2 linked regions of the Ovis aries genome follow. The protein of the gene in region 1 purifies or fractionates together with the protein of each later gene. This does not show direct contact. Links are inferred from orthologs where the notes say so. Each region holds a gene or a part of one and is shown on either strand. Other genes may lie near its edges.

Region 1 (4,054 bases):
AGGTCTGCGCGTGTTTGCGGATGATCTGCTTGTTCTCCTCGGCCACCGGCATTTTGGAGAGGAAGTGCTCGATGAAGTCGTGCGGGGTCATGGCCGCCAGGTTCCACTTGAGTTTGTTCACCAGGACCAGCTCCATGTGCTGCGGACCCGGGGGAAACGCGTGTCGAGAGGCGCAGGCGCGGACCCCAGTGGAGCAGGGGTCGGAGAGAGGGGATGGGGGTCGCTGGAGGGTCCGGGAAGTGAGGGGGAGAGCGCGCGACCCCACATTCCGTGCAGGGACGGTGCTGCTCGCCAAGGGTCCTACCCTAAACTCAGCCCACCCTGGGCCGGCGGAGACCAGGGGCCCGCCCACACCTGGAACGCGGAGCCGGGTCAACCGCGCGGGCGCCGCCCCGCCGCCGCCGCTGGAGGGCGCGCGCCCCCCACTTTTCGCAACGCTGGGGGCGCAGAGGTGGTGGGAGTCAGAGGGAAAGCGAGGGGGGCGGCGGCGCGGCTGCGGGGCGGCGCGGGGCCCCGCCCGTGCGGCCGCCTTCCTTGGGGGCGAGGGTCTCTCGGCGGCCCGCCGGGGACCCCCGCGCCTCCCCCACCCCGGGGTCCCGCGGCTAACTGGGCGTTCAGGGGCCGTGGCGGGGGTCCCAGGGTTACCAGCAGCTCGTCGGGCCGGATGGAGTTGTCAGTGTAGACGCACAGCTTCTCGGCCGTCAGGGGGATGGTCTCCTTCATCTTCGAGGCCACGAACATGCAGGTGGCCCCCAGCAGCTGCAGGCGGCTCTTTTTCACGGGCTCCAGCGACAGGAAGCGGTCCAGGTAGTTCATGGCCAGCGGGAAGACCTCCTCCTCGCACTTCTGCTCCTCGCAGACCTGCCGGGGGGCACCGGGGGCCGTGACCGCCGCCGCCGCCGCCGCCGCCGGGAGCGCCCGGCCCCTCTGCGGAGACCTCGCGCCCCCCGACCCGGCTCGCGCCAGGGCGGCTGGACTGCGAGGTCTCTGAGCGCGCGGAGGGTCGGGGCAAGGGGCAGCAGAAGCCGCCGCCGCCGCGCCCCTCTTCCCCGGGAGTCCCCAATACTCACCCACCCCGAAACTGAAAGGGAAAGTCCCAGCTAGGCTGGCACAGTGGGGGCGGGAGCGGGCACAGCTGGGCGGCGTGTGTCGCGCGCGGGCTGTGGGTCCCAGGGACCCCGGCCCGCGTGGGTGCTTCGGGAGCCGCCAGACCTGGGGTCGGCAAAAAATGGGGCGCAGGGCCGCGGGGAGGGCCGCGGGGCTGGGCGCCGCGCTCGCAGCGCCTGCGAGACACAAAGGTGGCGTCCCAGGCCGCCGCGCCGCATTTCCCCAGACGTCATCTTTTCAAAAAATATTTAAAAATATAAAAAAATTAAGTGGGTACATAAAAATGCCCTGAAAATGACCCTCAGACTGTCCTTTACCCAGGCCGGGAGTCGGGAGCTCGTTGCGGGCTCAGGGGAGAGCCCCAGGAATTCAAACTCGGGGGCCCCCCTTCCCCCTGGGCGCGGGCGCCGTTTCCTTCTCGCAAGGGCACCACGCCGCACTTTCAAAAATTATTTTAAAATACTTGCGGTGCCCCGGGGAGCCCTCTGAAGGCCTGAAAACGTGCCCCTGGCCCCCAGCTCGCTCCAGACAGGTCCCCCAAGCTGAGATCCCGGCAGATGAGGGTCCATTCCTAGCGTCTTGGGGGCCACGCGACCTTGCAGCCCGGCGTGCTCTCTGGCCCAAGCTGGCCTTGCGGGACGCCCCGGGACCCACTGCTTGAACAAAGGGGCCCCCTTTCCCGAGAGGGGTCCCCCCACAACTACCCGAGCTCTGTCCCCGCGCCCCTCCCGCTGGGTCCCGGTGGCGGCGCGGCCCCTCGCGGCGGCCCCAAGCGCCTGGCCGGCCGCTCCCCGCCCCCACCCTGCCCCCAATTATTAATAAACACTTTTGCTTTGCAATAAAAGAACAAAGATGGCGCATAATACTGGCACGAGCGGCCCTTGCATACGTGTCCATGGATATTAATTTAAAAATCAAATCTATGCCCCCTCCCCCTGGAGCTGGCGGCTCAGCAGCCGCGCGGCCGCAAGAGGAGGCGCAGCGGGGCTGCGCGGTGGAGGTCCCGGCGGGGGCCACAAAGGACGCCCAGCCTGCGGGCCCGCACCCTGAAGCCAACTGGGGTGCCCGGGCAGTGGCTTTCCCCTAGGGTACCCCTCCTCGACCGCCGCCGCCCCCACCCACCCACGAAAGGAATTATCTAATGACCCCACCCCCACTCCCTCCTTGTTCAAAAAAATACCCTGAATATCTATATATTTTGGAACTACGATTCCTAGCAACACTCTGGCAAACTTCAAAGTTTGGGTGGGAGAGAAGGGAGGGTGATGAGTGGCAAAGAAAAGTGGGTTTGCGCAACAAGTCGCAGGAAAGTGCTAAGAGAGCCGCCCGGAGCCCCGCACCTCCAGCATCCAGGTGGCCACGATCTTCCGCATGGACGGCAGGATCTCCTTCTGCACACACTTGAAGTAGGACACCGAGGGCGCGCAGGTCTCCTCCGCCTTGAGCATGGCCCGCAGCACTCGGTCGTTGAGGAGGTTGGCATCGGGGTACGCCCGGCGAATGGTTTCCATCTCGCAGCACAGGAGCTGGTGTGCCATGGTTGGGGGCTCGGCTAGGTGGCCGGGGGGCGGCGATGGGTCCGGGGCTGGGTCGGCTCTCGACTCGGGCTCCTGCTGCCCCGCGCTCCCTCGAGCTCGTCTGCCCCTCGCCGGAGCGCGCGGACGCTGCTGCTCGCTGCTACTGCGCCGACAGCCCTCTGGAGGCTCTAGGACTTTGCAACTTCCAACAAAACTCCCCTGTAGTCCGTGTGACGTTACTGTTGTTAAGCAGAGATCAAAGCCGGGCAGAGAATGGGAGCGGGAAGGAGGGGGGCCGGGCGCAGGGGGAGGGGGCGCGGGCGCCGAGCGTCGGGGAGCGGCGAGGGGCAGAGCCCAAAAGCCATCCCGGAGGCGCCGCGCCTGCACCGCGCGGTGTTGCCCCCGAAGCCGGGTTTTCATAGAAATGCAAACCGTCCTAAGGCTGCCTTTCTCCCCGCCGAGGAAGAGGGGTGCAGGAGCGGGGGTTGGGGGGGGGGTCTGTCCTCCCCGAGCGGGTCCCGCAGGATTTGGGGGGTTGGGTGACGGTGGCTCTGCAGAGGGGGACAACTAGGAGGGCGGGCAGGCCACACGCAGCTGGGGGAGACCGTGTGGAGGGGGACGCTGGGGTTCGGTGACACTCTGAGCCGGGAGAATGGGCGCATTTCCGAGAACGCCACGAGGGCACCCACGGGCGGAGGCAGCCAAGGGATCTTAGCGTCTACGTCTTCTTTCATTTTCATTAACACGTGTAAATTTCAGGAACCATTTACCATTCAGGGACTCAGGGCAGAGCCGACAACCCCGGTGGAGGTTTCATTCCCGCACCGAGGGGGGTCTGTGCAAATGCCGGAGGGGTAACCCCCAAAGTTAAAGGGCTTTCAGCCTAACACGCGCTCGCTCAAAAAATAAAATAAAATAAATGCCCGAAAATTCCAGCAGCAGCCCAAGATGGTGGCCAGCATTTCCTTCGCCCTGTCCTCTTCGCCTGGGGGATCTGCGCACTGTCTTCCTACCTTAGCTAGTCCATTCTTGCGGGGGGCCCCCAACACTTCCCCCCCGCCCCCGCCCTGTGCCGGCAATTTAACAGCTAGAAAAACACTCTGAAAGGAAGGCTGCAAAACAGTGGTCTCTGTCCTGTCTCGTTTTTTTAATTAAAAATTAAGCTAAATCGCTGGAAATATTGGTCGCCTCCCCGCCTGGGAGAAGACCACCGGAAACTTCCTAATTGGCTTTGTTGGGGGTGTGGACCTCTCTTCACCTTTAGAATTTGCCCGGGGGCTGCATTCGAGAGCCTGAGGCGGTTGGCGGGGGTCTGGCAACAATCAGAACAATTACAAGTTAAAGAAATAGGTGTATTGATCTGATGATTTTAAACAAAACCTATATATATTCGTGGCTATACGCGAGTCCCCAATATTAATCGCAAACTT
Region 2 (3,967 bases), on another chromosome or scaffold:
CTTGTGGACCCATTTTAGAATTCTGATTTACAGAACCATAAGATAATAAATTTATGTTGATACTAAATTTGTGGTAATTTGTTATAGCAGAAATAGGAAGACACCTTCCAAGATCACACTCAGACTTCATTAAAGAGGAGGTGCTCACTTCATTTGGTTCCTAAATAATCTTTGATGATACAAGAGCATTACCAAAGAGGAATTTTGAAATATTGTTCACAATCACAGCAACTTTGCAATTTGAGTGTTATACATTGGGTGGAGGTGATAGAACATTCTTTTTTAGGGTAACCATTATTTGGTTACATTAGCTACACTATATTGAGGAATTATTTATTTTTAGTTGAGTTCTGTATTAAACTTGAATTAATTTGTTCAAACCAAGGAATCTTAACAAGTTATACTATGCTTGTTGAGTTCTATCCTAGAGAAAGTGAAACTGATTTAATTAAAAAAAAAAAAAAAACCACAGAGAAAATTTAAGTGAACCAACTTGCAGCTACAAAAAGGAAAACTAACAGTGCATTAGAAGAAAGAATTTTTTAAAATAAAAACTGGGGAAATTTACACTATTGGATTTCTCATGGATTATGAATTAATTTCCAAAACAAAGGGGCCACACCCAAGGACACCATAATCTTTTGGAAACTCTACTATAAGTGCCAGAGCTCATATATATATATGTATGTCTCCTTCCATGCTTGTATATAATGCAGGTGAAAATATATTACATGGGTTGGATAAATGAAGTCCTTGGTCTTAGTCATTAAATTGGTTAAAGGTATTATTATATGCTACAGTATTAAAGTATGAAAAGTAACATAATATTTAAATCATAGTAGCAATCCAAAGCAAAAAGAAAATCATTCAAATGAATATTTCTAGGGTACTTAAGTCAAACTGAAGATATAAATTTAATTTAGTCATTAAAATTTTTCTATAAACTAAGTATTTTTAAACACAAATTTGGTTAGGGTTCAAAACTAAAATCATATCCCTTTTGTCGATGCCCTTATCCTATTTAAAAATAATTTAAAATTAATTATCTTTCTTTTTGTATTTAAACAATAAAGTCTAATATAACATCTTTCAGAACTAGAAGGCTGTAACACCCAGTCTGCAAACTGCTGGCAAAACTTTAGAGATATCCAATTATGAATCATGCATGCATTTTTTAAAAAAAGAACTCATGCTTCTCTTCTACAACCATTCAACCTTTTAATCTCCAAATCTCTCCACATTTCAAATCCCAAATAATCTCAGATTTGAGGATATTTTATTTTTATTTTTGTATCTAAAAGTATATAAAATATATCTGTTCTATGTAGCATAGTTTGAGGAAAGGACGATTCGCTTGTGAAATCACTTGTTAAGTTCCAGGTTGAGTTACTTTTCCTTTGTCTTGTTATGCTGGAGTTTTTGCAGTGTACATTTCATATAAATATTATTTTTCAGAATCAGAAATCGTTGTCGAAACCTGGAATAAAACTGGAGTGACTGCCAGGAAGAATTTATTTTTAGCCCCAGATTTAGGAAGTTAGTGAAGGCAAAACACACACACACACACACACACACACACACACAGAAAAACGAACTCACAACTCATCCTCACACATACAAAACTGGAGTGGGGAGAGGAGAAATGACATTTTTTAAACTATGAGGAACTGAAAACTTCCCAGGAAATTAATGTATACCAAGTAAGTTTAAAATACCCCAAAAGGTAAGAGACACTCAAGTGGTAACTAAATTGGCAGCATTATTTCAGGCATAATTGCACTAATTTTTTTTTTCATGTATGTCTATTTCCTAAACAAGCATATATGTTCCTTACTCGGTTAAAAAAAAATAATAAACACGATATATGGTTGCTTCTGAATAATTTCAATCGACCTTTATTCCAACTTACACAGCAGTAGATTTCCACTGAAATCTCCCTCTCACCGCCCCTCCCCCCCCAACAAAGAAGTCGATCAGCTCCATTCACAATTTTATAAGTTCGGGAGTAAGTGGTCCAGCATGTCTTACTGTCTTTATACTCGTACTCCAGACGTTCGTCAATTTCGCATATCGGTCTATATTAACACACGTAGGTTCTCCCTTCTAGATCTTCACACCGTTTTAGAGATCTGAACCCCACGCGCCTTCTCAGCCAGCTCCGCGGCCGTCCTGAGCCCCCTGAGAGTCGCCGAGAGGTCTCCGATCCCGAACTCGGTCTGAAAAGTCTCCCCTTTACCAAGAAACGCTTACCTGGTTCCGACTCACTGGCGGACCTCGTCCTCCAAAGCCTCTCGCCATCCACCCACCCACCCAGCCGCCCACCTTTCCGCGGCAGACCTGCTGACCCACCTGAATCGCGCTTCGACCGTAACGGTTCGGCGCGTTGGCCAACGCTCCAGCCTCGAGCAGTGCCCGTACCTCGTCAGCCCGGCCCCGCGCGGCGGCGGCGGCCAGCAAGTCAGCCGAGGTCTCCATGCTGCTCCCCAAAGCTCGCCCCTCGCTCCCTCCCTTCCTCCCGCCTGCGTCGAGCGCGGGCGGCCCGCCCAGGCTGCTCCTGAGCAGCCCGCCCCTCCTCTTTCCTCCTACGGGGCTGGCGGAAGCGGCCCCCAGACTCGGCCCCTCGACTCCTCCCGAGGAGTCTTTCCACCCGGGGAGCGCCCTCCACGCGCTCTTCCAGGAGGCGCCCTTTGCTCCTAACGAACAAGACGTCTATGAAGTAGCCCCCGCCGGGCCTCCTCGGTCACAGGTCTGCCGCCCACGCGACCCGAGGCACCGGCCGGAAGCTGTCCGCTCCGGTAGCGCGACGGGACCGCGAAAGGAGGGCGCCCTGGGACCTCCTCCCCGCCCCCCGCCCCGCGTCCGCGCGCAGCGCGCCCCCACCCCCATCAGAGGCGCACGCGCGGCTCCGAGCGAGTTCACTCCAGCCAAGTGAAAATTCCTCGCGTATACACCCTGAGTGGCGTGAGACAACTGCATAGGATTCCTAACTGCCAAGTTCGAACCAGTGTGTTTGGAGTCATAGGCAAAGTTATTGCTTCCTCTTTTAATCAGAAGAAACAGCCAGCTTGTCCTGGCCCCGAGCGCCCAGGATAGGTATCAGCCATTCCACCATGAGGCTTTCCTTCTTGGAGAGGATACACTCCCCCTCCAACGCTCAGCACCAGGTTTTCGAGCGCTGGCTCGATTATGCCAGAAATTCTAGCTCAAACGTCCCTTCTGGAGAACTGGCTCACGCGCCAGGCTGTGCCTCCCTCCCTCCACACACATGTAAAACGGATGTCGGGGGAGAGCGTTTCCTAGGCTTGCACAATGCCTGGTACTAGTGCCCAGTATACGGGCTGGCTCCGAGCAGATGAGGTCAATTTAAAAGGGATGGTGGAGATTTCTACCTGTACGCAGATAGGAAAGTGGCAAGGGTATCCTTGGGCTTAGTAGGCTCTGTTCTCAATAATTTCTCCTACACCAGAAAACATGCTCATTGCTCTAGGGACAGGGCTGCATTCGGAGATGATTCAGAAAGCAGGCTCACACACTGTCTTGGTGCCACTTCTGTCCACCTTTCCTTCCTGTTAGAAAAACCTTACACTTTTCTTAGTTATAAAATGGAGGGGGGAATAAGAGGTGTCCCTACTTCCTAGGACTGTTTTGAGTTTTAAATGAATTGATACACACATAAGCATTTAGAACAGTATCACACATCCTAAGCTCATGCCTGTTAGCTCTTAACATCCATTTTGAAGATTTTCTTGCAATCTAGGAGACAGAGAAGGAAATGGTTTAGGTAGAATTATCAATATTACATATAAAAGGGCAGGCAAGAAAACCTTAATCACTGAAACAATGATGGACATCTTCCAGTGACCGACATATTTAATGAAAAGTTAATGTTTAATCTGTCTGCTAGATAACCCAGCTCTGTTTTAAAAGTTATATTTCAATTCCTACTTGACTCCTCTTGAAGACCCAT

The links. The genes of interacting proteins can lie anywhere in the genome.
Region 2: the proteins of CCND1 (region 1) and cyclin-dependent kinase inhibitor 2A purify together in Homo sapiens (affinity purification with western blotting; 3 studies listed by BioGRID and IntAct, with this or other methods). This does not show direct contact. The link is inferred for Ovis aries from reciprocal best matches to the Homo sapiens genes CCND1 and CDKN2A.

The regions. Positions count from the first base shown.
Region 1 is NC_056074.1:43,280,876-43,284,929, reverse strand, and holds the start of CCND1 (G1/S-specific cyclin-D1), read right to left. Parts: upstream 2,806-4,054; 5' UTR 2,646-2,805; coding exon 2,448-2,645; intron 862-2,447; coding exon 646-861; intron 140-645; coding exon 1-139. UniProt on the Homo sapiens protein: Regulatory component of the cyclin D1-CDK4 (DC) complex that phosphorylates and inhibits members of the retinoblastoma (RB) protein family including RB1 and regulates the cell-cycle during G(1)/S transition.
Region 2 is NC_056055.1:90,755,897-90,759,863, forward strand, and holds the start of cyclin-dependent kinase inhibitor 2A, read right to left. Parts: upstream 2,805-3,967; 5' UTR 2,476-2,804; coding exon 2,350-2,475; intron 1-2,349. UniProt on the Homo sapiens protein: Acts as a negative regulator of the proliferation of normal cells by interacting strongly with CDK4 and CDK6. This inhibits their ability to interact with cyclins D and to phosphorylate the retinoblastoma protein.